Drosophila melanogaster: one gene and its partners. Changing the gene in region 4 together with the main gene of any one other region gives a genetic interaction. Each region holds a gene or a part of one and is shown on either strand. Other genes may lie near its edges. The genes, in order: snf, sqh, mle and ovo.

Evidence for each region.
Region 1: of ovo (region 4) and snf, changing one enhances a phenotype caused by changing the other (phenotypic enhancement), as found in Drosophila melanogaster (one study listed by BioGRID).
Region 2: of ovo (region 4) and sqh, changing one suppresses a phenotype caused by changing the other (phenotypic suppression), as found in Drosophila melanogaster (one study listed by BioGRID).
Region 3: of ovo (region 4) and mle, changing one suppresses a phenotype caused by changing the other (phenotypic suppression), as found in Drosophila melanogaster (2 studies listed by BioGRID).

The regions. Positions count from the first base shown.
Region 1 is NC_004354.4:5,306,693-5,312,584, reverse strand, and holds snf (sans fille), read right to left. Parts: upstream 3,344-5,892; 5' UTR 3,232-3,343; coding exon 2,879-3,231; intron 2,454-2,878; coding exon 2,156-2,453; 3' UTR 2,084-2,155; downstream 1-2,083. Other genes in the region: dhd (deadhead), read right to left, coding at 1-125; TrxT (thioredoxin T), read left to right, coding at 874-1,347; Cdk7 (Cyclin-dependent kinase 7), read left to right, coding at 3,691-3,756, 3,828-4,823; CG17764 (uncharacterized protein), read left to right, coding at 5,373-5,892. UniProt on the Drosophila melanogaster protein: Binds stem loop II of U1 snRNA. It is the first snRNP to interact with pre-mRNA. This interaction is required for the subsequent binding of U2 snRNP and the U4/U6/U5 tri-snRNP. Plays a role in regulating sex-lethal splicing.
Region 2 is NC_004354.4:6,220,994-6,227,800, forward strand, and holds sqh (spaghetti squash), read right to left. Parts: upstream 4,148-6,807; 5' UTR 4,014-4,147; exon of another isoform or gene 3,704-4,013; intron 3,528-3,703; exon of another isoform or gene 3,418-3,527; intron 3,165-3,417; exon of another isoform or gene 3,124-3,164; 5' UTR 3,012-3,123; coding exon 2,592-3,011; intron 2,519-2,591; coding exon 2,414-2,518; 3' UTR 2,068-2,413; downstream 1-2,067. Other genes in the region: Efr (ER GDP-fucose transporter), read left to right, coding at 389-1,447; dtn (detonator), read left to right, coding at 5,182-5,227, 5,447-5,739, 5,807-6,807. UniProt on the Drosophila melanogaster protein: Required for cytokinesis, could regulate contractile ring function.
Region 3 is NT_033778.4:5,973,536-5,983,756, forward strand, and holds mle (maleless), read right to left. Parts: upstream 7,244-10,221; 5' UTR 7,160-7,243; coding exon 7,084-7,159; intron 7,025-7,083; coding exon 6,508-7,024; exon of another isoform or gene 6,166-6,507; intron 6,103-6,165; coding exon 5,784-6,102; intron 5,143-5,783; coding exon 4,452-5,142; intron 3,934-4,451; coding exon 1,655-3,933; 3' UTR 1,559-1,654; downstream 1-1,558. Other genes in the region: BubR1 (Bub1-related kinase), read right to left, coding at 1-358, 422-748. UniProt on the Drosophila melanogaster protein: RNA helicase component of the male-specific lethal (MSL) histone acetyltransferase complex, a multiprotein complex essential for elevating transcription of the single X chromosome in the male (X chromosome dosage compensation).
Region 4 is NC_004354.4:5,044,952-5,052,020, reverse strand, and holds the start of ovo (ovo), read right to left. Parts: upstream 3,749-7,069; 5' UTR 2,891-3,748; coding exon 2,479-2,890; intron 1-2,478. UniProt on the Drosophila melanogaster protein: Transcriptional regulator with essential functions in the germline and soma. Plays an essential role in regulating the formation of apical cell extensions such as denticles and aristae, and initiating cytoskeletal remodeling during epidermal differentiation.

The DNA of each region.
Region 1 (5,892 bases), 260 kb from region 4:
TTGACGGTGCTCTCCATTTCCTTGCAGGGACCACACCATGTCGCATAGAAATCCAGCACGATTAGCTTGTCGTCGGCCGCCTCGATGCGCTTGTGATAGTCGTTCATGGTGCGTACGGATGCCATTTTTATGTCGCGAGGATTAGCAAAGTGTTTTTCTTCTTTTTTTTAAATTAAAGAACTTGACGTGATGGGGCTGTTGGCGCTTTCGCTGCAAATTGTGAACTGATTGAAATGGCGGCTGCGTAGGCGACTTTATAGGGGTCTCCAAGTGGCGGTGTGTAGAGTGGAATTCCCGCCAATTTGCATGCTGAATTCTCGCGTGGCCGCTAAACAAAATGGCGGCCCATGGAGAGTGCAAAATGGCGGGCGTGTTAGGGTTGCCAGGTCGTTGGGAAAGCCAACCGAGTGTGTTGGGGGGTGGGGAACATACTTATTCACCACGGCAGGTCTATCGATATCGATATGAATATTATTATCGTAATTATGGCAAAATAATGGCGTCACACGACATAGTACTAATATTTTCCTCGAGTGTTGCCATAGCCGTGGTAGGTTCGAAGCCAAACTCACCTCAACACACCGCGCCGCTGACATTTGAAAACACTTTTTTTTCAATCCAAGAAGGCCGCAAAATATTTGGCGAAAACTGTATAAAAGAACGCCTGCCGCCCTACAATTTTCATTTCGGGCTGATATCTCGGCGAGGGCAGAGCTCCATTAAAATTCAAAAGTAACAAAACAAATCAAGTGAATTTTACACCCAAAACAAGATTTTCTAACATTTTCCTTTTTTTTTTCTTTCTTCTCTTCCCATTTTTTTTTTTTTTTGTTTCGTTTCGATTTGCAATCCGTTTGGAATTTAGTTAAAGTCATGGTGTACCCAGTGCGGAACAAGGACGATCTTGACCAGCAGCTAATCCTCGCCGAGGACAAGCTGGTGGTAATTGATTTTTATGCAGACTGGTGCGGACCTTGCAAGATAATAGCACCCAAGCTGGACGAACTGGCGCAGCAGTACTCGGACCGTGTCGTCGTACTCAAGGTGAACGTGGACGAGAACGAGGACATTACGGTCGAATACAATGTGAATAGCATGCCCACTTTTGTGTTCATCAAGGGCGGCAATGTGCTGGAGCTCTTCGTTGGCTGCAATTCCGATAAGCTGGCCAAATTGATGGAGAAGCATGCCGGCGTTTATACCGATGAAGCGGCCGACGTTAAGGCCGTCCATATCGATGGCGAATGCATTGTCGATCTGACCGCCGAGTCCAGTGAAAGCGACAACGACAACAACAACGTTAATGAGGTGTCCGCCCACGACGAGAATGCCGTTCTGGAGCACTAGGCAAAAGTACCATTACACTCCGAACATAACGACAACATATGTATGTAAGTACGATTGCCGGAGTGCAAGCATTGTGGTCACATAACCGATTCCCTGCTCCTTCTCCTGCAGCTCATCATTCAACAGACGTAACGGAAGAAAGCAATAGATATATATATATATATATACATAGACACACACACACACACACACACACACTTATCGATGTATATATATATATATATATATATAATACACACACTTATCCCAGATTTATTATGCACACTCATAATACTCATCATTTGTGGTGCCTAAAGTATGATGATTGCATTACAATTGTAAGCCTGATGATGTTGTTACGGCGGAGGAGGACTACGTCGCTGAACGATTCTACATATAGCAAACATTTTGGGAATCCGAGGACTTGTGGGACTTACTCAACACACGCTCCCGCACACCAAACTGATGTTGATTTTGCAGCGAGCTTGATACACCATGCAGACTGAGCAAAGGGACGCTATATATATATATATATATACTACTATACACCATATACTATACACTAAATGGAAATATGTACAATCGACCGACATAAATAATACGCATTACTAGCTGTTAGTTATAAGTTTGCAGACAAACAAATAGATCTACACAATAAACAATCAACTATTCTATTCTATACTTTTGCCTTTAAGGATCTTTGGGCGAAATGGGATATGGGAGGGATATGGGCATATGGAATACTCGTAGTTTGTTTGTTTATATCGATTTATTCTATAGTTTAAATTATTATTGGAGTTGCTGGAACGCCCGGCGACTGGAGTTGCGTTCACTTCTTGGCGAACGTTATCTTCATGGCGTGCGTCGGCGTAATCTTGAAGCCCTGCAGCGCCTCCTTGGCGGCATTGCTCTGCAACTCGGTGGTGAACTCCACAAAGGCGATGTCGTGACGATTCGGCACAAGACGCACCTCCTTGAAGCCGGGGAACTGATTGAACAGCATGGACAGCATCATCTCGTTGGTCTCCTCGGGCAGATTGGTGAGGAAGAGGATCTGGTTCGGCGGCTGCTCGGTCTGTGCGTTCGGGTTCGAGTTCTCGGCGCTGCTCGGCTTCTTCTTCTTGTCCCTGTGCGAAACGAAAAAAAAAGGAGTTGTCTTAGTGTCACATGAAGTTGCATTTTTTTTTTGCCTAGTCATTCGCACATCCCAGAAAACTAGGATTACTACGGATTTTTGTCGCGCAAAAATGAACAAAAATGAAACATTTTGCAACTGAAACTCAAATCGCATCGATTAAAGAGCAAAAAGGAGTTGATAACTAAAGATATTATGAAGACTTGAGACACCTCTTGGTTTTCAAGTCCATAATTCTGGCCAAAAACTAACATTGGTTAATGCGGAAATGTTTTTAGTAGCAAAAAGGATTTCAGGCGTGCGAATGAAAACATTGGGTTTTTGCGAGGCAACAGGGAGCAACAAATGGTAGCACCATGGCCGTTGGCAACAAATGATTGAATCTAAACGGGCCCAATTAGCAATTGGGATACTCACTTCTTCTCATCGGTACCCGGCGCTGGTTTTGGTGGCTTGACCTTCTTGGGGCGCTCCTTGAAGGTACCCTTTATCTTGGCCACAATATCCGAATCGGATTTGGAGTAGGCGATCTGCATGGGCTTGTCGTAGAACGGGAAGCCCTGCATGGTGCGCAGGGCATTCGAAGCGCTGCCGATCTCCTTGAAGATCACAAATGCCTGGCCGCGCATTTTGAGCGTTTTTAGGGCCACAATGTCCAGAATTTGGCCGAATTGCGAGAAAATCGCATAGAGCGACTTCTTTAGCTCCTCCTTCTTGATCTTCTCGTTCAGATTGTTGATGTAAATCGTTTGGTTGGGTAGCATCTCCATCCTGTCGTGCGTTTTATTCACTTAATTCGACAAAAATCAACCAATTTGCTCTGTATTGTTGAGAAAAAAAACGAGTCTGTCATCGATAGCAGAAGGCATCGTTTGGGGCGGTCTATCGATATGTTATCGCACCGGTGTTTGGCAGTGTTGTTAAACTGCACATAGCTAAAAGTAGCTAAAATTAAATGACAATCACATGCAGCTAATTTAAATTGACAGTTGTGTATTATTTGCATAACTTGTTAAACTATAAAATTGATTAGCAATAAAGGAGCAATACGCTGTTTTTGCATTATTCTTAATAGACTCTGAAATCTAGTATTTTTTTTGGGGCGCGCGATAGGCCCTACCGGCGTCCATCGGTTATCGGCCATCGATAGCGTTTGCGAACTTGAATTGTTTTGATTCGGCCTCGCAGCATTTCAGTCATTTTCGTGCTATTTATGAGGCTCCTAAACGATGCTGCCCAATGCGAATGACAAAACGGAACGCTATGCCAAGCTATCCTTCCTCGGCGAGGGTCAGGTGAGTCCGCCGCCACGGAATATCAACCCAACGATCCATAACAATGTGCGCATTCCACTTTCGCACCGCAGTTTGCCACAGTTTACAAGGCGCGCGACACGGTGACCAACCAAATTGTGGCCGTAAAGAAGATCAAGAAGGGATCGCGCGAGGATGCACGCGACGGTATCAACAGGACAGCGCTGCGTGAGATCAAGATATTGCAGGAGCTGCAGCACGAGAATATCATTGGCTTGGTGGACGTTTTCGGTCAACTTTCGAATGTCTCGCTGGTTTTCGACTTCATGGACACGGATCTGGAGGTGATCATCAAGGATAACAAGATTATATTAACGCAGGCGAACATCAAGGCCTATGCCATCATGACGCTAAAGGGTCTGGAGTATTTGCATCTCAATTGGATACTGCACCGCGATTTGAAGCCCAACAATTTGCTGGTCAACAGCGATGGCATCCTAAAGATTGGCGATTTCGGTTTGGCCAAGTCCTTCGGTTCGCCCAATCGCATTTACACGCACCACGTGGTCACACGCTGGTATCGTTCGCCCGAATTGCTCTTTGGCGCCCGACAATATGGCACCGGTGTGGATATGTGGGCAGTTGGCTGCATTTTGGCTGAACTTATGCTGCGAGTGCCGTTCATGCCGGGCGATTCGGATCTGGATCAGCTGACACGGATCTTTTCCACACTGGGAACACCCACGGAAGCTGAATGGCCGCATTTGAGCAAACTGCACGACTATCTGCAGTTTCGCAACTTTCCGGGCACACCATTGGACAATATATTCACCGCCGCGGGCAATGACTTGATCCATCTGATGCAACGCCTGTTTGCCATGAATCCGCTGCGGCGTGTGTCCTGCCGCGAGGCACTGAGCATGCCGTATTTCGCTAACAAACCGGCGCCCACAGTGGGTCCCAAGTTGCCAATGCCGTCGGCCATTCTGGCCGCCAAGGAGGGCGCCAATCCGCAGACCGGCGACACGAAGCCTGCGCTCAAGCGCAAGCTGGTCGAGACTACGGTGAGGGGCAATGGATTGGCCCAGAAGAAGCGGCTGCAGTTCTAGCACACACACACACACACACACACACACACACACCCACACACACTCACTCAGTTAACACACACTTTCCATTATAACATTGATGTTTGTGATCGCGTTACGTTGTTCACCGCAGACATGCACAATAAGTTCTATTGAAAGGCTTAAGGATGCATTGCATCCACTCCAAAAGCTCCACTCCATTCTAATTGATATGAATTTTTCTCGCTTGGCAAAACCTTTTCGCCACCCAACATGAGTTGTTAAGACTATGCTTAAGATGATTGAGGATGATCTATTAAAGATGTGATTGAAAGCGAGCGAAAATTGAGTAGTTAATTAGTAGTACATAGGATCCTGGTAGGTTGTGCAAAAGCTGTTCCAGTGCACGCTACCGTATTTATATTTCTGAAAACAAATTGGTAACCAAGTCAATCGACGCACATTTGAAACTCTCGAAATTCTCAGCGCTCGTTTCGGTCCGTGTTTTGTTTTGTTTTTTTTTTTTTTTTCCTTTTTGCTAGTGTTAACTAAAGATTTGCCGTATTTCGTTTTCCTGTTTGGAGTTAGACGATGTCAAAGGCGCAGCAACTGATGGCCAGGGACCAACAGGCGGCCAGGACGGAGGAGGAGGCGCGTCGCAAGCGCGCCGAGATGCGTCAAAGCTATGGTAACAAATTTTCCAGCATAAATCTGCATAGGATGCGCCAGAAGCAGACGACCAATGCCGGCGATGTCATCGCCACCAAAGCAACCACAATGGATGCTGCCTACAGCAAGAAGGCGCCGGTGGAAACCAATGCCGATGCGCCGGCAATGCCGACGAAAAAGGAAAAGGATGACCCCTCACTGCGTCGCATCGCTTCCAGTTTTGCGCACGTGCGGGATTTAGTTAGCGGCAGCACCGACGCCCTGCCCCTGGAGGATAGCGAGGATGATGCTCGCGAGGAGCGCGCCGAGGTGCTCATCTTCAGTCAGACAATGCCGCCACCCGATGAGCTGTCCGTTGACTTGCCATCTCCTGGCAAATCTGAGCCGGAAACGGAGCCCGACCTCCAGTCCCAATCTCAGTTCAATCTGGAATCTGAACAGC
Region 2 (6,807 bases), 1.2 Mb from region 4:
AAATAATTTCATCAGTTAGTAGTAATATATTCAAAACAGATTGATTTATTAATAGTGCTAAACTCTTTTTTAGCATAATCAGAGCAAAATTTAGTGGAAATCAAATTGCTTCGTAATCATGGCAATGTTTTGCGAATGTATAAAACAATTTACGTGCATGTGTGTACATACGTACCTACTTATTACCCCTTTAAGATAACAGATAGCACGGAATGTTTTACATGCTAGAAAACAAAATGAAAAAAAAAACACACTTGACAAAAAGTTTAAAAAAAATTTAAAATTGAACACGTACTCTAACATCGATTGTCAAGATGCTGGATTTTAATAGCCTATAACCATTCATATTTTTAAAATTTCTAAACATATACATATTTATCTTTCAGATATGGCTCTGAACCTGAAGGCCCTGCTGGGCATGCTGTTCGTGTTCATCGGCTGCTGCAGCAACGTGGTCTTTCTGGAGCTGATCATTCAAATCGATCCGGGAGCGGGTAACCTGATCACCTTCGCCCAATTCCTGTTCATCGCGCTGGAGGGTCTGGTCTTCACCTCCAAGTTCTTTACGGTGCGACCGAAGATTGCGCTGAAGGACTACGTCATCCTGGTGGCCCTGTTCTTTGGGGCGAACGTTTGCAATAACTATGCCTTCAACTTTAACATACCCATGCCGCTGCACATGATCTTCCGTAGCGGATCACTGATGGCCAACATGATCATGGGCATTGTGCTGCTGAAGAAGCGCTACAATCTGCGACAGTACAGCTCCGTGGCCATGATCACGGCTGGCATTATATTGTGCACTCTGGTCTCCAGTGGCGATGTCAAGGATAATACACATCACAGCCTCAAGGTGGATACATCCTACTCCGATTTCTTCTGGTGGACGGTGGGTATTGGCTTGCTGACAATCGCCCTGCTGGTCACCGCCTACATGGGCATCTACCAGGAGGTGATATACAAGAAATACGGCAAGCATCCCAGCGAGGCCTTATTCTTTACGCACATGTTACCTTTGCCCGGTTTTCTGATCATGGCCGGCAATATAGTCCAACACTTTGGTATCGCATGGTCATCGGAACCAGTGGCCGTGCCACTGCTGGGAGCCATTGGACTGGAGTGGAAATTCCCGCTGATGTTGTTCTATCTGCTGTGCAACGTGGTCACCCAGTATGTATGCATCAGTGCCGTCTACGTTCTGACCACCGAATGTGCATCGCTAACCGTAACGCTGGTGGTCACCCTGCGCAAGTTCGTCTCGCTGCTGTTCTCGATCATTTATTTCCGGAATCCATTCACCCTAAACCATTGGGTAGGCACCATCCTGGTATTCTTCGGCACAATACTCTTCGCCAATGTGATCAACCAGGTGAGGGACGCCTATCGGGCCAGGTCGAGCCGGAAGACCCACTTCGACACCGCTCCGCTGGCCAAGAAGGTGGAGTAATCTTCGCGGGCTGTGATGGTTCCTGCTGCAGAGGCCATTAACCATTAACCATTAATTTGTAGTCGTAGCGCCTTGTTTGTACATAGAATTTGCCTAGTGTTTAGACGCCTCTTTGTCTGGTTTGTAATTCTTGTGTCCGTGTCTTTCTAGATTTTCAAATGTTCGTGTTTTCTTTTAAATTAATAGTTGTCCAAAAAGTGTGTAATATACAACGTTGAGTGTTTCGAACATTAAGCCATCTATTTAATTGATTTTTTTTTAAATAAATTCTTGAAAAACATATATTTGCAGAAGCTGAAATATCTTCGAATCAAAAATAATGTGAGATAAGATATGAGTTTGCAAGTTCGAGTCTTTTGGACATGAACTCATTAGTCAGCTTGTCGAAGATTCCAAGAAAATTTTGACTAATTTCCGAAATCTCTTTCAATTTCCCGCCACATTTGAAGCTACATACACTTATCACATCGTGCTAGTGATCATGCTTAATTAGCCATGGGGGGTACATATTCCAAAGTTTCCCTTGTTTGATCAGTTGCTTTTGGCTGAAGGATTTCTGCAGACATCTGTTTGGTTGGACGTGCGCACGTTCTCGAGTGTAAGAAAAACAAAGGTTTATTGCCACATTCTTGTATAAGTATGTATTTGTATATAGGTAATATATATGTATATTCAATGAGTTAATACTTATGAAAGGAGTTTTTCGGGAAATCGTGTTATCTGGCACCAACATCTCACACACTACACTGTCGTACATAACAATCGCTGGTGTTGGCTACTTTTTGTTTAATTCAAATGCACGGATAAGTACAGGATTATCAGGAATCAAAGAACAGAAGGCGCGAAACCAAAAAAAAAAAATATTTATACTTGTATATATTAAATTATCAAAACGAAACTCATGATGGATAGTTTGGACAGGCTGATTGGAGAGGCAGCTGGCTAGTGAATCGACTGCTGGCGATCTTACTGCTCATCCTTGTCCTTGGCACCGTGCTTAAGGATGCGCGTGAATTCGAGGTAGTCGAACAGACCGTTTTTGATGGGCGCCTCCCGATACATCTCGTCCACCTGTGAATGTAAATGGAAAAGAAGTTGTAAGGGCACACTCCGACTTGATATCGTAAACAACTTGACAACATACATCCTCGTCTGTGAACCGATCACCCATGGTGGTCAGCAGCTCCCTCAGGCGATCCTCGGGCAGGACGCCCATATTCTCCTCGTCGAAGCAGCCGAAGGCGTTCTTGATCACATCCTCGGGATCGGTGCCCTGCAGCCGCTCGCCGAAGAGCGTGAGGAACATGGTGAAGTTGATGGGCCCGGGCGCCTCGTTCATCATGCCATCGAGATAGTCGTCCGTTGGGTTCTTGCCCAGCGAGGCCAGCATGTCGTGCAGATCCTCCTTCTCGACGAAGCCATCACGGTTCTGGTCGATCATGTTGAATGCCTCCTTGAACTCGGCAATCTGCGCCTGATCGAACATGGCGAACACATTGGAGGTGGCGCGTTGGGCGCGCTTCTTGGTGGTGGCGCGACGTCCGGCGGTCTTACGGGATGACATGGTTGCTGTTGGATTGGTGGTTCTGATGCGGTTAATGGAGCTAAATGGAGCCGGCCTATGGAGCTGGTGGCACTAGTGCTTCGCGCTGGAGTGATGTGTGTGCGGCGTGGATCTGAAATCGAAAAACGCCGACTCACATTAGCATTTCGTTGGCCGGGTATGTATTTATGGCTATATATAGACATATTGCAGCGAATTCCGCTGAAACCGATTTTCATTGCTCCCCAAACAAACTGTGTCAACATACAGTGGACGCTCGCTACAGTGAGTACACCATGCATATGCTTATCACAACGGAAAGAACATCTTATTGCTGCTCTTTAAGGTTTTTTAAGGAATGAAGGTTTGGCCATTGCCTAAAATGGGCGAACTACAAATTATATTTATAAATAAATAGTTTTAATACAGTTTTAGGCCAGAAAGGATAATGCAAAAGCAGTTCGATGGCTCCATGCTTCCGCTACAGTTACAAGTCCACCTTATCGGGCGCCCACTGTGAGTACGACTCATGCACGCACACATGCGCAGCTCTCTGAGTCACTCGCGCAAACGAAAATGACACGTATGGGAGTTTCGCTCTCGCTCTGCGCCAGTGCGTGCATGTGTATGCGAGTTTATCAATGCTGTTGAACTGCGGTTAACAAAAACAACATCGCACACGTATTTGGCTCATTGAAAACATTCTCACACACACTGGCACACGCATTTCAATTAAAGCCTTAAAAGGCCAGAAAAAAACCGCAGTTGAAGCACCCAAATTCACTCGAGAACTCAAGTTGGGCCAAATGTTTGCGACTTCGTTGATTTATCACTTTCGAATGGACATTTAAATGGAATTATAGCACAAAAACAATTGTTTTCATTTGCGCGCTGCCGACGCTGACTCATACGCATACACTAACACACACGCACACTCACATAGGGCAGCGCCCTTTGGGAGTTCAGTTCGTTTATTTTATCGAATATGATTGCTTGATTACGCCTGATTTGATTCATACTCACAGCTGCCGAATGCCGAGTGTTTAATACTATCGAAGTTTCGTTAATGCAACTTTCGACCAGCTGCACTTTTGTCTTTTATAATTTCGGTTCGACGAGAAGGCCAAGTGTGACCAGCATAGAGGCGGTTTCAATTTATCAGAAAATACCGCAGAATATGCTAAAAATTACTGTGCAAAAGTGCTAATTGTTGGAGCTCCTAAAATAAATAAATATTAAGACTATAAATTATATTATAAAATATAAAATTATATTACAAATGTGAATACTACTGAGACTAGGACCATGGCTATTAGAATCCTAAAAACCTATTGTCAGTTGTGCTACCAGATCTTGTTTTAAAATATTCGTTCCTAAGAAGCTCTTTTCTTGTAGAATCTAAAGTTTCTCAAAAAATTTTCTTAAGCAATCCCAATTAATTTTATTTTTCTTTATTCTTCACTGTCAAACATGGTATTTTTTTTTTTTTGGTATTAACTTTTTGAATTGCCCGCGTTCTGATTGGAGTTTCAGGAGTATGCGCACAGTCTGGCAGCCCCATATTACAGCACTTCCAAATACGGTAGTACCACTATCTTAGGATATTGTTTTCAATACGGTATGGACACACTGCAAAGTGTTTGGAATGTTCGATATTTGTGTAAAATTCTGAGAGACCTGAATGAAAAGAGGCATGCATTAGGGCGTCGAACGAGGGATTTTCCAGCCCAGCAGATCCTTGCCAGCGCGTGAAAAGCGAGTCGAGTGAAAAATCGAATCGATTGGCACGGTTGCGGTCCAATTAATTTCGAACTGAACTGCGCGATTTGCAGGAGAAGATGTGTCTATACCTGCATGTGCATGTGTATCTGTGTGTGAGGTGGCCCACGGCTGTGTGTGTGAGCAGCGTGTGAGTGTGTGTTGGTGTGTGGGTGTGTGGGCACACTGGAAAGAATCAATAAAGGATGTGCTGCGGATTGCTGAGCGAGAAAAAAGGACGAAAAGTGCTAGCCAGCGCGAATTAACGGTTGACTTTTGGCACGATTAACGGAATAACGGTCAAATAAGCCACACAAGCGAGAGAACAGTGAAAATAACGAAAGTGCGGGCACAGTTAATTAGCAAATTAACGAGTGGGTGGGCACAGGATTTCAGGATTTCGATATATTTTGGATTCCTGCACACGAACAAGATGATGAGATACTGCCTCATAATTGCTTTGCAGCTGTCGTTGGCATGTAAGTATCAAATAAAGTTTCCAAACCCAGGGGGGTGGTACAAAAAAAGCGATGGAGTGGGAGGAGGGAGTAAGCCAGTGGGAGGGGGATAAAGGAGGAGTGGGTGACCTCCGGGTTTAAGAAAATCCCCAACCCCTATGTTACCATTACCAAAATTCAACTAATTGACTCCTTCATCTACTCCCAACCCATAACAAATCCATGCCGAATCCTCGCCAGACTCCGTGGAGGTGCACTTCGAGGCGCCGGACAGCGGCTTCTTTCTGAAGCACGCCCGCCAACCACCTGTGACGCCGGAGATCGCCAATGTGCAGACATCCTCGGCGGTGCCGCCGTTACGGCAACGATCCTCCTATGATTCCGTGTTATCTCTGGACAGATTCACTGTGGTCGAGACCACGCAGCCGGTGTCCATACGCGCCAGCTATGGACCGTTTTCCACGAAACAAACGGTGCCAGCCCGCTACATTGTGCCGGACACAATGGACAGCCAGTCGGGCGATTATATGAACGTGAGTTATCCCCAAATCCTGGCAAGCAACAAAAGGACGCCTTGTCATACCACTTTCTCTCCCACAGAATGCCACTCTACTGGAGCTCCAGCAGCCAAATATGCACCTGGACATATCCGCCCATTTGGTTCGCTCCAGTGTATCGCAGGATGCTCCCGTGCTTCGGGTACTATTCCACGCCGGAGCCGATCCGGGTGGTCATTTGCAGCGCCAGAAGGTCTGTGTACTCCTGCACGTGGCGATGGGTTCGGAGCAGCCGCTCAAAGGACGCTGCATGCCGGAGGGCGAGGACGGTGTCTGCGTAGCCGAAGTGGTCGTGCCCCTGGGCTGGTGGCCCCAGCTGCCGGCGCCCACACAAGATGGCAGTGGTCAGGCGCCACCCAAAGTACCGCAGCGGTATGCCCAGGTCTCGTACAGTGTCTTTGAACCGCCTTTGCGTAATCCCGAGCAATGCGAGCCGAAGGTGCAGATCCAACCGTTGACCACATTCGCCCAGGTGCCTTTGTTGGCCGCCAGGACTCCCTATCGTATGTTGCGCGCCGATGATGCCGTCACCTTTCTCCTGCCACAACATCCGCTGTATCCACTCTCCCGTCTACATGTGCCCGTCTTTTTACATCAATATCCCGATCAGCGGGTGGCCGCCTTCACTGTGAGAGCTCGTGTTAAGGCGGGCTTAAAGATTCTGGGCGCCACCGCCTCCACAGACCAATGGAGCGTTTCTGTAGAGAAGGAAAATCCCAAACACACTACCGCTCGCGTTACTGCTTTCCGCAAAGAGGCCGAATCCAGTCTGGAAAGTGGTGGCAACCTAACCAGCGAGGTGTTTGAAGTATTCTCATGGCTGCTCGAGGTGGCCGAGGACACCAATGATATTGTGGACGGTGGCAAGATTGTGTGGTCCGTGACGCATGTCTATGACACGCCAAAGGACAAGGATTCCGGGGAACTGGTTATACCCGATGACAACAAGAAGCGACTAATTGCCAAGCTGGAGATCAACAAGGATGACATTCAGGCGGTGCTACCGATGGCCAAAATCTGGGAGGTGATGAACACGGCGGTGCT
Region 3 (10,221 bases), on a different chromosome or scaffold from region 4:
CGGTACGGATGCTGCCCACGGTGATGCTGTTAGAGATCTGCTGCCGGCGACCATGAAGTGATTGCAGTGCTAGCCGTCGCTCGTTAAGTTCCTGGTTTACTGCGTTGGCCTCTTCACCAGTGCTGTAGAGCATGCGCTGGCCCACCGTATAGCCAAAGTGGTGGTGGGCCTCCTTCAGATCCTCTAAGGGCTCTGCGCGGCACTCTAGACCTAAGCGAAAGATCTCGTCGGCCTTGCGCATGTTACCGCTCAGGTCGTAGCTGTAGGCCCAAGCAATGTAGAAATCTGCCAGCATTGTTCCGATCCCGTTGTTGTACATCTGCTGATAAAACTCGATCTTGTCCTTCTGTTTCTCCATCTAAAAAGTGACGAAGTAAAATCGGTGGTTGAGTGATCGTTTAAAATATCATCGGCTACTCACGAATTTAATGAAAAGCTTTATAAGCCGCTTGTCCTGACGGTAGCGCTCGTCGTCTTCAAATTTGGTGAGGCACTGGTGTAGGACAGTCTGCAGACCGGAGCCACTGCCCCCCGCCGGATAGCTCTGCTCGATCCAGCAGATGAACGTGTACCAGGCACCGAGAGGATCCGCGCCTTTGTAGGTGCGCACCTCCTCCTCCATTTGCTTGCGTTGTGCCAGCAGTTCCTGGCCGTGGGTGGAGTCCTGGCTAAGAGAAGCCTGCAGAAGGCTCACATTGCGACCGCTGGCCAGCGGCTGAATGTTCTCTTTCGCATTGTCAAAGTCCATATCGTTCTCCTCAAGCAAATGACCTGAAACTTTTGGTTGTCTTGTATCGGTTAAACAAAAACTACGCGCCGAAGCAAATGCTAGAGATGAATGATACTACGCTCTTTCGATATTTTTAATTGTGTCGTATCGATACTTCGATTGAAAAACTGTTCTCACTGAAGCCGAAATACATACGATAAAAATTGAATTGCTTAGCAACACAACGTCATCACTGACCACCACTTTTAATTGGTAACGAAGCTCACCATCTTGACCAGTAAAAAAGAAGCGTAAGAACAGCTTACTCCAGTTACTATTACATTTCTGGTGCTCCTCAAATCTTTGTGATCTAATATTTATTTGATCAACTTTCATTATTGCTTCGAAAATTATGATATTTTAAAATCACCGCCATATCTGTACAATAATTAATTTTTCTTTTCCCTTCGAGTTTTGATAAGGCACGAAATATGTTTTGCATATATATGGCTTTTTATTGTATATATTGTTGTCATGACATATGTTTTAAAAAGGTCTAATTGCGAAATCAGTAATCGTCTAAAATGCTAGCAGAGATAAAAAATAATGATTACACAGGTTCACCAAAAGCCTTTATAGAATGAATGTTTTTGATCTCATTTTGTGACAATAAACGATTTCCACGCCTTCACAAACGAAATTCCAGCAATATATGTATGTATGCAACAGGTTAGGGAATGTCAGCGGAACTATCATATTTGGTTACTATTTACATACGTTAACTCGTGAATCTATTCGGATCGCACATGCGTATTTAATGCCAAAAAACCAAAAGATTCAATGCGTCTTATTTGTATAATCCCTTCAGCATATCGAAATGCGAATAGTAATGTTTATTATTCTTTTTGTTTTTGAAAAAACCAATACATTTTTTTTATGTATCCGTTAAAAGTTACCCCAGCGGCCGCCTTGGTCGCCATTTCTAAAGCCGCCGCCTGATCCTCTATTGCTTTCAAATGAGTCTCCAAATCCACCTCTCTTGTTCCCATATCCTCCGCCATTGTTTCCATATCCTCCACCATTATTTCTATAACCTCCGCCATTATTTCCATATCCACCATTATTTCCATAACCTCCTGCATTATTTCCATATCCTCCTCCAATATTTCCATATCCTCCTCCATTATTTCCATATCCTCCTCCATTATTTCCATATCCTCCTCCAAAAGTTCTGCCGTTTCCACGGCGACCAAAGCTGCTGTTAGTAAAGCGTCCTGTCTCAAAGCGACCTCGTTTGGGCGGTCCTCCGCCGTCACTGAACTGACGTGATTGGTGCGGCAGAATTCCTGATTCACGCTGCAGTCCGAAGTCTCCGGCGCTCTTAACGCAAAGGTCTTTGACCACTTTGACCAGCTGTGCATAGGGCTCCTCAAGGCGAAGTATGTCGGAAGGGTTGTCGCACGCCACCGTGATAAGATCCTCCAGGGCCGGCTTAAGGGCACCAATCTTGGCCGCAAGTTCCGGCTCTATGTCGAAGTTAAGCCAGTTGTCAACGCGCACTATATTGTTGGCGGCCAAGTCAATCTTGCGCGATCCAAACAATATCACCTGCAAGGGCGAGACCATAGATAGTTGCTTGCAGGAAACAGCTCGCGTGCGAATCTTCTCGCCGAAAACGAAGAACGGATACGGAAATGTGACGGCCAAGTTGCTGCAATTCACCGAGGTTTTGTGCAGTAACGCTGCTTTAGACTCTGTAGTCAGCACTTTGCGCTTCTCCTTGTGCACGCAAATGTTGGGGTAGAGACCCAAGCACAGCAGCGCCAGGGACACATCCAGCACGGGGTCATCCCCATCAATCCTTTCGTCTACCTCGTGCGATATCATACACTCTTCTGGGAATCCTGCCTGCTGAAGGAGATCCAGTAACTGCTGCTTGGCATCCCAGATAACGTTCATAGTACTCATTTGCAGTCCTTTCCAGTCACAGAACCGAGCTTCCATATGCTCACCGCGTTGTTTCTCGCGCCGCCACATTTGTGAAGCTACAATCATTGCCACGTGGTCGGAACATTTGGTACCACTCAACGCTTTCTGATGATTTGCCAGGCGACGTTGACCTATATCAAGACTAAACACCTCTGAGAAGGTGCTAGAGTACGAAGCCATAATGGCCATTAGATCGGCGCAGCCAAATACTGCGCCGAGGACCATCATCTTTCCAAGTCTTGGTTCAATTGGGAGGCGTGCCAGCAGGCGCCCCAATGGAGTAAGTTCATCGTTAGCGTCAAGGCAGCGCATCTCGCGAAGCAACACCTCAGCTTCGATTACTGCGTCTACCGGAGGTGGCTCCAATGCCTTTGACAAAAAGTGGTGAATGGAGCCCAGTCTGAGTAATTTAATGGTCAACGCCATCTCGTGCAACGGTGTGCGGAACATCTCCGGCGTAAGATTGTCCTCTAGCGCTTGGAAGCGGGCACGCGAACAGAGTGTGAAGCAGAAGCCTGGTCGGACACGTCCAGCTCGGCCCTTGCGCTGCTCCAAATTGGTTTTGCTTGCCCAAACGGTGGCGTAGCTGGTTAGGTTGTTATGTGAAGTAAAGAGCTTCATGCGCGCCTTACATATATCAATTACGAAAACAATGTCGTCAATAGTTATAGAAGTCTCTGCAATGTTGGTAGAAAGTATAATCTTGGTTACGCCTTCTGGAACAGGCTCGAAAACCTTGCGTTGCTCGTCTCGTGGAATCTGCGAGTGGCACGGCAAAATTTGGTATTGGGATGTATCACCAAAAATGTTTGTATTTTGCAGAAACTTCATAAGCGCAAAGATCAGGTTCCAACCGGGCAGGAATACTAAGATAGCACCGGGAATATTTTTTGACTTAATATGCATCAATAATGCCTCCAGCAGCTCAAAGCTAACGTCCGATTCGGATAGCATGGCCATAGCATTTCGAGTCTTTTGTGAATACTTGTCCTCGCACACCTTGTTATAGTTGATTTCCGCCTCGTCCTTGTCCTCGGAAAGCAATTGCTCCTCGTCCTCCACTTCCTTGCGCTTTCGGCGCGACTCCGCCGAAGGCACAAAGTCTGTCATCTGAATAATGTCCTCCAAGAAAAATTGCTGCACGGGAAATGCTCTTCCGGGTACTTCCAATACGGGACAGATGCCAAAATATTTGGAAAATTTCGTTGTATCAATAGTGGCCGACATAAGAATAACTGCAATAGAAGAGTTTCTATTAATTATAGTGTTTTCTAAAAGTCATATCATATTAAATTAGGACTAGAAATGTATGACCCGTAATGCATATAAGTTTTAAGTTCTGAATAGTAATTTTGTTGGGCATAAGTAATTTTGGCAAGTCAACTCTACATTAAATATGAAACACAAACAATTGGCAATGCAAATTTTCAATGGAACAAACTGACAAATCGACTATTAAGAACATAACATATACACTCTGGGCGGATCCGGTACAAACAATATAATCATAATCTTCATTAATTAAGCCAGTGAATTAGTGCAAAATAAGTTATTTTCGCGGCTCAAAATCTGCTCAACATTGCTTTTTATACATGTAAATGTATGTATATATACAATACATATATACAAATGTATGTATATATAAATATATAAGTATAATCAACAATTGTCGAAGAGTTTCACCCCAAGAAATTTGAATGCAGGTTATACATACGGATTTATGTTAGAAATATTGCACCTTATTCGAGCTTACCATGCAGGTCCGGATATGTGTCGACCATGTCGCGAAGGATGACCAGCAAAAAGTCGCTGTTCACGTCTCTCTCGTGGATTTCGTCCACAATAATATGCGACACTCCTCGTAAGCCAGCCTCCAGCTTGCGCAGCAACACACCCACGGTGCAAAAGAGGATTGCGCCGTAGGGTCGTGGAAACACAGACTCAAATCGCACCGAGTAGCCTACAGTGTCGCCCAATTGCTCGCACCGCTCGCGAGCTACGCGCTCGGCCACAGAAATGGCTGAAATGCGACGAGGCTGGGTCACATAAATATTAGCGTACCCGCCCTGGCCGGAGCAGATGTAGTCATCAAGAATGTATTGGGCAATCTGGGTAGTCTTTCCGCACCCTGTGTTTCCACGAATGATTACCACTGGATTGTCATTAATTGCGGTTAAAATTTCCGACCGCATCGCTGCAATGGGCAGCTTTTCGCGGAACTCGAGGAATTGTCGGTACTCGTTGTCGTTTTGGCGGCGATCACGCAGCGAGCGTTCGTAGTCCATCGAAAGGTCATCAATAGAGGTGGTTGCCAGTTCGCCTTCGTCGATGTTGCAGGCATGCCACGTATTCCAGTTTGCCTGAGGAGGAGCCCACGGAATCACGGAGCTTTCCTGACGTTTTTCGCCATCCTGTTGCGAGGAATCTATACGGCTTAAGTTCACCTAGGAGAAAATATTTTACATCGTACACTACATTTTTTGTTCGCAAAAAAAAGGTGGTTTGGGTAGGGCAGCGTATTCCTATGCTCATATAGTAAGGGTATGAATGTAAGAGATAACAGAAATAATCTTGTTCAAGATCACTAGCCAAGTCTATCACAACAAAAGCTTGAAAGTTAAGATTAAAGACGCAGATTTTAGTTATGCTAACGTAGCGTAAAACCTTCTTTGAAATATCTTTTGAACACAGAATTGGATTAGGTCGATTATGGTGTCTGTCGACGCGTATTGAGAGCTATATATAGAAAAAATACAAATGTTACAGCCAAGTATGCAGTACAAATTAATCGAGTTAAAGTATTTGCATTGTTGTTTCGGCATATCAAATATTTTTGAGGGACTGAACGATGTGGGAGTTACTAGCGTATTCCTAAGTATATGACTTACGTAAATCAATATAATAATATATACTTTATAAAGTACTGTTGGATGTCATCAAGAATATTGAAACCGGTATACAACATTTAGCTAATAGTCTTTGTCTGATAAAATCTCTAAACTGTTTTTTAATACTCTGAGATAAGAAATTTAATTCAAATTGCTGATACATTTTTATTTTAGTTTTCTAGTTTCGTATTACTTACAATGAGAGGAATCGGAGGACCGTCCAGTTCGATTTTGATATTGCGCGGGTTTACGACAGGAAGGTCCAAACCCTTAATCACCTCATCAATTTTGTTTATCAGATTTGGCGAAAGCTTCACCGGATATGGCTTCAGCTGCTCATCCTTTTTTTTCTTCAGAGTTCCACTAAAGGGCTCTATCACATTTAAATGGAAAAGTTGGCGCACCAGGGACAGGGCGCATGACTTGCTGGCAGACTTCTTGTTTGAACCCGACTCACGGGCCGTCACCGTGCGATTGAGCGCCGGCACATAAATGGACAATTCGGCCAAAAAGCTCCTACATTAAAAGAACTTTTTGAAAAAATCTGGACTGGTAATGTAGATCAAATCCGGAACTTACCCTCGGGCTATCGTGGGAGTCTACGGACTGCTGAAGGAGCCAGCCGACAGAACGGCGTGGTACTAATGTGTTAGACGCAGCTGGAAAGTCAGCGCTTGAATTATTGTCAGCTAAGCCGCGTTGCATGGGCGTCCGTTTTGCTTACAGACCCCACGCAAGGAAGCTGGACGTGGTTCTTGTAGTTCGGAGTATCGTACCACATCGTTCTGCCGGCGCTGCTCTGCACAAATCAAATTGGTCACAGCCCGACATGATTATGGGCTGCATTTCAGATTTGGCCGTAGGCCATATTCGGTCAAATCCGAAATGCAGGCCGAAGAAAGTTGAAAAGGAAGCACATACCTAGCGTGTTCCGGGCCCACTGGTGTATATTTGTAATCGTCGCGAATGTTGTTCGTCTGCTTGTAAATGTTCAGTCGCTCTTTGGCATTCTCTATGGTCCAGTTACCGTGGATGGCAGCGTTGACATCGAAAGCCTCCGCTTCGTTCATGTCCCTCTGCTCCTGGATGCGATCAATTACTGAGTAGCGGTTACCGCCGTCACCGCCATCGTGGTTTAGAGGGCGATAGGCCTCACCCAGATCCTGTGGACCCGACTGACCATCAAACACTCGCTTCTGCTGTCCACTGCCCCCTGCCATGCCCGCACCCTCCAGACCAGTCCTAGGTCCGCCCCCCGAAGCACCAGCATCCGCTGGAACATCATTGGTGTTCAGTTTGCCCACGCGCACTAGGTAGTTGACAAAATCACGGCACGCATTTTTCTCGGCATCCTTTTTGTTAGTGGAATTACCCACACCAATATAGGTATTTGGCTCTACACGAACCTCGCAAAGGAACCGCTGGCGATTTTTGGGACCTATAAATTAAACTGCTACTTGGGAAACACGCCTGGGGGAGTGCAACATAACCACTTACCCGTTTGGCGAATATCAAACTTTGGTTCTATTTGCGACTTAGCACAAAATTGGTACAAAAAAGATTTTATATCCATTCTTAGATTTTCAATAAACTTTCTATCAACTACGGAGCTCAAATTAAATTTATTTCTTTTGTGATGTCTATTCTGATATCGATTAATTTTTTTGTTGCTTTACAAAACACTAACGCGTCTTGAATCGCCTATCAAAATAGGAACGGATAAAATAGAACAGTGTGTGTAGATATAAAAACATTTAATGTAATTTAATCTAAAATAAAAGAAACCTATAGAGAGACTTAGACATATTTGTATATATTGCACTATAAATAAACAGACAAATTTCTTATATATATACTTTTATTTATTTATTTAAATATAACGTAGAGTATAAAATTTTAAGGTAACTGAAACCTAGATGCATTAGCAGCTAGCACCTTCCATTTTATATTTTTTAAATTAGGTTGGAGCTTTTTAAAAAGTTTCTAATTGTGTTGATGTCAACTGTTCTATGTGGCGAAAGGGAAGAACAGTATGCTAGGATGGGATTAACGTCTAACTGGTTGCAAAGAGCGCATATAAATACATATACATATATATGGGGGACCTGTTCTTGTAATGGTCATTTGTAAGGTTGATGTGATCAAGCCTGAGACTGTTAATAAGAAATATCGTTTTCCTGTTGTGTGATGTGGTGTTGTTGAAAGGAGTTTGATGTGGTATGTTGAAGGATGAGCTTGTATCAGGGAGTTATGTTGTAATGCAGTTCTGTTTGTTTTGAATTGACGTATATGCCTATGTGCCGAGAAGTCTTTTATGTATAAGTAATAAATGAAATATTGCAAAACAAAAGAAACGGAATTCCAATTCAAATTGGTAGACGAATTTTGAGCCGTTTTTTGCGTAAGATGTGTAGGACAGAATATTATCGAATAATTGATATCATATGACTATGTTATGCCCTTCAATCCGTCAAGAAAGATTCCTCATATCATAGCAGGTCTTAGAATCCTTAAATAATTTACGCTAATTTACGATGAAAAAAATAATAATCAGCATAAATAATCATATATTAAATAGTCATTTCTGGCACCAAGAAGACCACTAAACTTGACCAGCGACACGACCATTGATTTCTGTTCAAATAAAAATATCCAAGCTGTTGAAATAAATTAGTATTTTAAAGATGATGACTGAAATTCAGTATTATAGTATATTTGCCCCAGTCTTTTGGTATTTCTCGAGTCCGCGTACTGGTCACACAGCTTTTTGCAACGCGATGGGAAAAAGAGGACGATATTTGAGTTAAAATGTGAATACGGATGCCAGCCCAACTAAATAATAGTGCAATCGCGAGTCACCCATTTAATCGCCTAGTTTGAATTCTTTTTTGCGGCCCCAACGCCGGTACACAGCTGGATTTTTGTTGGTTGCCAGCAGTCCAGCATCACGCACACCCACACGAGCAAATGTAGATAAAAGTGAGAAAACACTCACGCACGCACACACACAGGCACACGTTTGGTCGTGGGCAAGCATTTAATTTCGTTAGTGCCCAGTAAAACAGAGTTGAGCGAAAAGGCGATAGCAACTTGCACAAATTGTAAGCAGTGCAGAGAGTCAGTGAAGAGGGGATCGAGTGAGAGCGGCGTTTAGTGCCAACACCCAAGCGCTGATCTCGCAGCTACAAACAATAAACAAACAGTGAAAGTAACAGTAAACGCAAGCGCTGCAATTTGGCTTCCATTGATTGCATTTAGTACTCAGTCTCGGCGGCAGCACAACTACTCATCCAACAATGGGTAACTGCCTCACCACACAGAAGGGCGAACCCGACAAGCCCGCAGATCGAATCAAGCTGGACGACCCGCCCACCATCGGAGTCGGAGTGGGCGTGCCACAAATCCCCATGCCCTCACACGCCGGACAGCCACCGGAGCAGATACGTCCGGTTCCCCAGATCCCGGAGAGCGAAACGGCAGGTGCCAACGCCAAGATTTTTGTCGCCCTCTACGACTACGACGCCCGCACCGACGAGGATTTGAGCTTCCGCAAGGGAGAGCACTTGGAGATACTGAATGACACGCAGGTGAGTTTTGCTACGTTCACACGCACGCCTTATTCGCGAACAAAAAAGTTGGCGTTTCCTTATTTGTAATTAAAAACTCAAAAAATATCGTGCACACAAAAGAGAATTAAACTTATTTTCCAAATATATGAATTTGTATTGAAAATCAGTTTTGGACAGATATAGAATGTTCATTCGATAAAGATATTATTTATTTTGTTAGACTAAATATGACTATGCAACTTTAAAATAAAAACAAATTAGACAAGAGTGTAGTTGGTCGAATTTTGTCCTGGCAGCGTTTTGAACTTTTACTTTATGTACTATTTTGGCTAACGAATTTTTAATCGATATAGCAGAGGTAAAATTCAAATTATTAGCTTTTTCTGTGCGGTTGAGCGTCGGACATCCTAATTAGCTAAGATGAAATAAAAAAATAACTCTCCGGTGTGTCCCATAATTCGGTTATTAAAGGTATACTGATTGAGAATTAGATGACGTCAAAAGCTTATGTGGAAACGCTACAGGTATCTCCAATGAAACTAAAATATCGCCCAAACACAAATAAATTAACTTGCAAACAATATATAGATCGCTAACAGCTCGCGTTGAAACAGAATGTGAGTGAGTAAGCCGATAGGTAAGCTATTTATGTTGGTGTAAGCAAAAGAATGCGAGAGAGTGTCTGATAATAAGTGCAAATCGCTTGATAACGGCGTTTGTAGCATTTTTCTTCTTGCTGTGCGGTTGAAGGAACACCTTCTCGCGTTTCCAACTACTTTCATATGTTATGGACGCAGGCACTATCACAAATCCCAGGGGTACATTTGATAAAGCAATTCATAGCATTAACGACAAAAAAATCATGAGTTAAAATACCGCGAGAATCTAAATATTAAATTATTTTAATTTTCATTAAAATTTTTATTATATTTTCAATAGTTTGTAGTTAAAGGGATGCGTTTTTCCGACCCTGAGATTAACCTCACGGATCTAGGTATAATTGGGTTTACCGATTGTTCTTTAAGTTATTTGATTACTGTTTACGAGTCTAATAATCGTTCTTACT
Region 4 (7,069 bases):
GGAGAAGGGTCGCGAGGTCTTTAAGGGAACCTTTCGCTAACTTCCGCTCGAGGATTGCAACATCTGCGTGTAAGCTCTGTGTGTGCAATTGAACTTGCAGTTCTAACAGCTGCAGAATTTGCATTGATCGCTCTCCTTTATTTTTGGAAATTTCCTTATCGCCGATCGGTCGATCAATGAATTTCCTTTCGGTTATTTATTAACTTTTACTAGTGGCCCGAGAGAAATTCGCGGCATAAAGATCGCTGACTGAAGATAGAGGAAAATGTAACAGGAAGTTATGCTCATAACTTCCAGCTGTGGCGGGCGAAGAAACTAGGAGGAATTCTTGTCCATATATGCATGAAGTTCAGTTCGGTTCGTTTTGGTTCGGTTTGGTTCGCTTTTCTCGAGCATCTTGGTTCGCATTTTGCTTTTTCTCCTGTAGCAATGTTCATCCTCCAAGGCCCTTTAGCATTTCACAAGCTCTGTTCTTTTGCCTTTCCTGCCTCTTCTGGTGAGTTTCTTCTCCCCAGTCTTCAATTCGACTGGTTCTACAAGTTTTATTATGGCCAGTTGCCTTGACTTTGCTTAGGCCAAATGGCAGACGACGTACCTACAATGCACCCCACCCAACGTCCTCATCCCCAAACCACCTTCTCCTGCTCCACCTCCTCAACTGAACTTGGCTCTCATGATCGTCATGATGATCTTCTTAGTCATTGTGTGTAGTTGGAACTTTAGCTCAAGTCTAGGCTGCAAAACCAAACAAAATGAAGTTCTTTTTCTGCTCCGCACTCTTTTCTTTTTCTTTTTCCGTTTCTTTTTGCTTTGGCTTTGGTTCTTCATCTTCTGGCAAAACTTGTACTTTTGCGTGGTTGAGAGGAGATTTTTTCTTGTATCTGGCTTTTAGTACCTTGTACTTTGGTAGTTATATAATTTTTTTTTTTTCGTTCGTTCTAGCTTCGCTCTAGTGTGTGAGTGTGCGCTCAAGTGTGTGAAGTTCTTGGCCATGGGCACAGCCCACTAAAGCCAAGAAAAACACGAACAGCGAGCGGTAATTGAACAAAAAAAAAAAAAAGTGAACAAGCAGTGTGACCAGAGGGTTCTTTGAAATCAGAGCAGCATGAGAACACATGTTTAGAGTGCAAGACCTAAATAATATTAAATCCTGCATAGATTGATCAAAGTTGGAACTTAAAACTTCAAAGTGTTAGTTATGAAGTTATGCGAATCCGATGAGCTCACCAACTTCTGTGTAATTCTATCCAATTTAAAAATTTTTTCTTTGAGAATATAACGTTGCGAAACGATTTCCCTTCAAATAACTTCCATTACAATATCCGCAGAACTCATAAAAATTATACAGCGGAAGCGTTCATAATACATTTTTAAGTGGATGGGCGATAGAGATGATGAAGGGAACTTGGTTGGCTTGGCGATAAACCGGGAGGAACCGAGAACGTAACATGTTATTTAATTTAATAAATGTTGTATATAGCACTCAACTACGCGCTCCGTGAAAATAATATATATAAGCTATAACCATGAAATATAATGCCTGCGTAAGGGGCAAAATTATGAGGCTGCGTGTGAGAGAAGCTACTCTTGAAGTGAAGTCGAGCCATAATGGTTGCATAAAAATATAGATATAATTAAGGCCAGACAAAGGGCAGTTAAAAAATGCTTAGAAACAAAAGACTTTAGCGAAAAAAAACGCCAAAAGAACGCTGAACGAAATTCACTTTCAAATAAAATCGAAAAGAACTTAATTAATAAAACTCGCCCCGAAAACGAAGAAAGTTCTTCTCGCCTAATCATTTATGAAAATTTTAAACCTTTAACCTAAGACCACCGCCTAAATCGAAATGACTTAATAAGCATGCTGGGCGATTATATAACAGAAACAGACAGAAAATAAAAAGAAAACTGAAAACAGAAAACAGAGATCAGAACAGAGACATGAGAACTCTGCTTGGCTTTTTTGGCAAAATAAAAAAAAAAAATAAATAAAACGAAATAATACGCTTACGAAATTCAATGAAAGTGATTGATGTCGAAGTAAACCCATAGCTCCGTTTTGGAGAATGGAAGATAGACAGGGCAGATATAGATACAAAGATACAAAGATACACTGGGGACGAGTTCGTTATGGTGTGGGCGAAAAGCAATAACAAAAGCTGCCCAAAAGTGAAGCTTGAAATTTGAAAAGATTTCCAGGCAATAGATATGGCGCATTGTATTGCCAGCCGATTTGCCATCGGCCAAAAAAAAAAAAAAAAACTGACTGACAGATTTGTAGCAATTATTTATCCAAGTAAATTAAAATTCTTTGCGTTGTTCTTTGATATTTTGTGCTTCGAGTATTCCAAACAAGTAACAGAACGCATTTATGTGACAACGGTTTGGCAAACGGAAATTTAATCGCTCCTAAAGGTGTATTTATGTATAAGGCAGCGAAAAGATTTTTAGACTCTGTTTTAGAAAAGTTCAACTTACCATTTTGAACTTGGCCAGTGGCGCATTCGACTTCCAATTCCGCAGGATTTTGTATTTGATTGGGATTTGCATTTGCATTTGGATTCGGGCTCTGATTTTGATTGAGATGATCGAGACTGTGGCGCGATTGTCCGAAGTAGTGACGACGATGGTGGAATCGTTTGCGCGTGAGGCTCAGTGGCTGTTGATCTGAATCGGGCACCTGTCCGAGCACCTGTTGCCCCTGACCTTGCGGTTCCGGTGGTGGTTGGGATGTGGGCGTTGGCGAGGGGCCGCTACCACTCCCACTTGGACTGAGGGGCGGCACCAAGCGCTCATCATCCTGATTCTTGTGCTGCAGCAAGTTTTGCGATTCAAGCAAGCGCTGTTGCTGCTGATGCAGGCGATTTTTGATCAGGAAAATCTTCGGCATGATGGATTATCGGTTGATTTGCGATGAACGATAAGCGATTTAACGAAACGCGACGGCGACACGCGACGAATTCAAGGAGGCGACGAATTTCTTCGTATTTTCAGGTGGACGAGGGACAGTTACAGTGGGTCCGAAATAAACAAAACACTAATCCAATTGTGTGTGTATGTTTGTTCGCCGCTCGTCCACTGTGTTGAAAAAAAAAAAATTGCTTGATTTCAGTTTTGATTTGGTCATGAGCCGAGCTCAAGTTAACTTCTGTTTTGCCCTCTTCATGTCTTTTGAAAGTTCTTCGGCTTTGCAAGTCAAAGTCAAGTCAATTATAATTGAGGGATTGTTTTGGGGTGTCCTTTCGTGATTTTGTTCTTTGGTTCGAGAATTTTGCTTTGTTTTGTCAAAACACTTCGAAAAAATGTACTTGAAAAATATTGCCTTTTCGGCAGTGTCGAGTCTTGGTTCTTTTTTTGAAAAATCAATTTTTTTTTAAGTTTTCGGTGACTTGTCGAAAAAAGTGTTGATTTTTCCCCCAAGTTTTCAAAAAAAAAAAATATTCGGTTATGAGAAATTTTTGTTTTTCCCAATTTATTTTTTGGGTTTTCAAACACTTGTTGGGTTCTTGATTTATTTGTGTTATTCAGCGCACTTGTAAAAAATATTACTCAAAAAAAATTTTGTTTCTGTTTTGTATGGATGTAATTCAATATATTACTATATTGATTGATGCACAACACAGTGTTTTCGTTTTTATAAATTGTATTGTTTTATGTGAGTTTAATGGTTTGCTTTGGTCTTTGGGATTCGCCCAGGTGAGTTAAGCGAAAACACGTGCATTCACAACGCCGGCTCGCAACTTACTGTATTCGAGGTAGTCAGTTAGGCCAAACCAAAGTCAACCGATCGATCTCGCCGCTACAACAAACTCAGTTAGACGGCGAATTTAAAACACCGTAAATCGAGAGAGAGAGAAAGAGCGAAACTTCCCTTTCGTATGAGTCAGAAAATAACGAGATATTCGCCGTTGCTCAGGTGAGAAAAACAGCGGCGAAACGGCGAACCAAGCGCACCTGTGTGAGAGAGAGTGAGAGTGTTTTGTGTGCGTTGCCTCATTTCGCTCACATAACGTTTCTCATGCAGTTTCGCGCTCTCTCTCTGTCTCTCTGACGCGCCCTCTCTTTCCCTCCTCAGAGTCAAGGTAGTGATGATAATGATGATCACGCTCATGATCAAGAATCTTCGCCTTGGCCATTTGCCGGCTGAGATCGTTTTTACCCGATACCGCGAGCTGTACTTGTGGTACTTAGAATTTGGTTGGATTGGCAAATTAATAGAAAATTTAGAAAAATTTCAATATAAATATTTATGTTCCGGTCATTTTTTGTTAATTTTGTACTGTACTTTCGAACTAAGGACTTTGTATTTACAGCACATCTTAAAATAATTGAATTAAAGCTAAATTTAAATAGATATTTTTCTTAAATGTTCTTAAGCCTATCAATAGATATCAATTATTAAAACGATTTGTTTAAATGAAATAGTTTGCAAATAATGTTTTTAAATATCCTCCTAATTATAATTAAATATTCTGGCTAGTTTGTTTCCTAAGTCATTTGATTTTCGATAAAAAGAACCCCAAAAAAGGAGGCATGATTGTGGCCCTTGAAGAATTTCATCATTATTATATCTGTGCGAGTGTGTTTGTGTACAACGATGGAAAGAGAACCGCGGTAAATACAATAAGAAGAAATAACGAGCCAAATAAGAAGAAGCAACAGCGGCAAGTAAGATGGAAAAATGTACCCATATAAGCGAAATTAAACGGCAAAATAGTTGGCAACGCAGGCATTTCTCGCTCTCAGGTGTGCGTCTCATTCTCTCTCTCTCTCTTTCACCAGCTCTCTCCTTCCCCTAAATCCTTGTGCGCATGCGTTTGTATGTGTGAGAGAAGATCGCTTAGAATGCGCTTAGAATGGCAAATAAGAAGGCCTAGCTCCATCTCTTTTCAACCCGCACAGGTGCGCTGCCAACGGATAACTAACGTTATTTCACCGACACACACACACACATGGAGAGCAAGTGATGTAAGCGACGGCGAATTCAGAGCGTCGCACACCTGTGTGGCACACACACTCATATACATACACGCACGCATACGCTCTTTTGCGGCGACGTAACAAATTTACAGCTAACTTTGAGCTGGTGTGCGGAGGTAGAGAGAGAGAGAGCAACGAGCCGAAGGTAAAAACGAAGACGAACTCACGTCCGAAACTGAAAACGAAGCCTCGTTCGCAGGTGAGAGAGGTGCACCATAAGAAATTAGTGCGCTGCCCCTTCAAAACTTAATAGAATAATAACATAAAACTGAGGATCAACTTAATCCTTTTTTTTTTTAATTTCATATCAAGTTAAAATTTTAAGAAATAACACATTTTTAAAATGTTGGCCTCTGATTGAAAATAATCGGTAGAATTTGTAATTCAATTATCTGAAACTCATTTTATTTCCGTGCATCGATGTGTATCGCGAGAGAATTGGAGAAAGAGCGGCTCTGAGAATCTGAGGCCGAAGTGGCAGGCACAGAAAACCTGTTGCTAACTTTGGCTTTGACTGTGACTTTGCCGTTGAGGCAGCGGCAATGTTAATGTCATGATGTTGGCGTTAGTAGAGGTTTTCCGTTGGCTCTTCTTCTTCTCGGTCGGTGGAGCCTTCTGAAGAACATCCCCCCCCCCTGCGTTGTTGTTGCTGCATTGTTCCTGCGCCAACTTCACTCTCACTCAAAAAGCCGCTCGTTGGCCAAAATGCAAGTGTTCTGGTCCAGAACGAAAATATGCACAGATTTTGGTTGTACTAAAAGATTTGATTATATGTACATTGTGTACATAGAATGTTCTTGAAAGCGAGAATTTGTATTATGTCTATATATTTTTTGCAAATAGTTCTATACGAAATAATAATTGATTTTCTTTGATTTATTTTCAGAATCTAATTGAAACCCTTGCAGATAAAAAGTAAGTTAAAACTCTCAGCGAAAATTTAAAATGCAACTAGTTTAGTTTAAAGCTTTATTATTCTAAAATGGTTATTGAAGCGACTATAATATAAGCCCAAAGTTCAGATAGTGGATCGAGATCTCTAACCAAAAGCGAATCTCAAGTTCTTGATTGCGAACCCAATGAGAATCGAGCTGGTTTTTGTTGTTGGCCCAGACCTAGGCCACCAAAGGTATAGACCACGACCGACACTGCTTGCCAGATCCATATATATATATATATATCTTGTCTATATGTATACATCTATACCGATGTACGTAAGTGTGGAATTGCACATGGCAAGTGTGTGAGTGTGTTCACTGGGCTGTTAATGCCTTGACTTTGGCTTTGGTAGTTGGGTTCTTGTTTAGGTTGGGTGGGGTTCGTTCCAAGAAGGGGGCGGTATGGGCGTAGAAGAGGGCCCACGGAGCCAACAGAATTTTCTCGTTGTTAGTGTCTGCATCTTCTGCTCCACGGGCAGAGAGACACCCCCCCCCACCCCTCTTTGCCCGCCGTCGCCCATTTCGCTGGGTAATTGCTGTGTTTAAGAATGTGTTCCTTTGGGCCTCAATGCGCTTGGATCGTTCGATCTCATTCACTCCTTCTTGGCTGGTAGTTCTTGCCATTGTGCGATGGTGTTGTACACTCGAAAAAAATGATCAGTAGTGTATTTTTGATTTATTTTGATATATCAAAGTGCAGAAATGGGTAAAATGTCTTGTGTTTATTAGTTTGGAAAGCCAAAGGTGCGTTGCCAAGCAAAAGTCGGTTTTGCATAATTTAAAAAGGAAACAATTGTTTAGATTATTTAAAAAAAAATAATTCAAATAAAATCTTGAATGGAATGTATGGAAATAGTTTGGCGATCTTTTTTCTATTGTTTTTTTTTTTGTTTTTTTTTTTATTACAACTTTTTGTTGGTTCTTATCTTTATTTGCTCAATTGTCGTCATCGACGGCGACTCGCTAAAATAATGCTTCAAGTGAAGCAAGAAGCAGATAGCCAGCCAGCCAGCCCATTGTGGTGGTAAAAAGAGCAAAAGCAGCAGCAGCGGCAGCAGCAAAAGAACGTAATCATCGCGATGATCATGATGATGAGCACGGCAGAGCGGCTGGGAATACCTGTTTTACCTGTTTGTATACCTACTAACGTA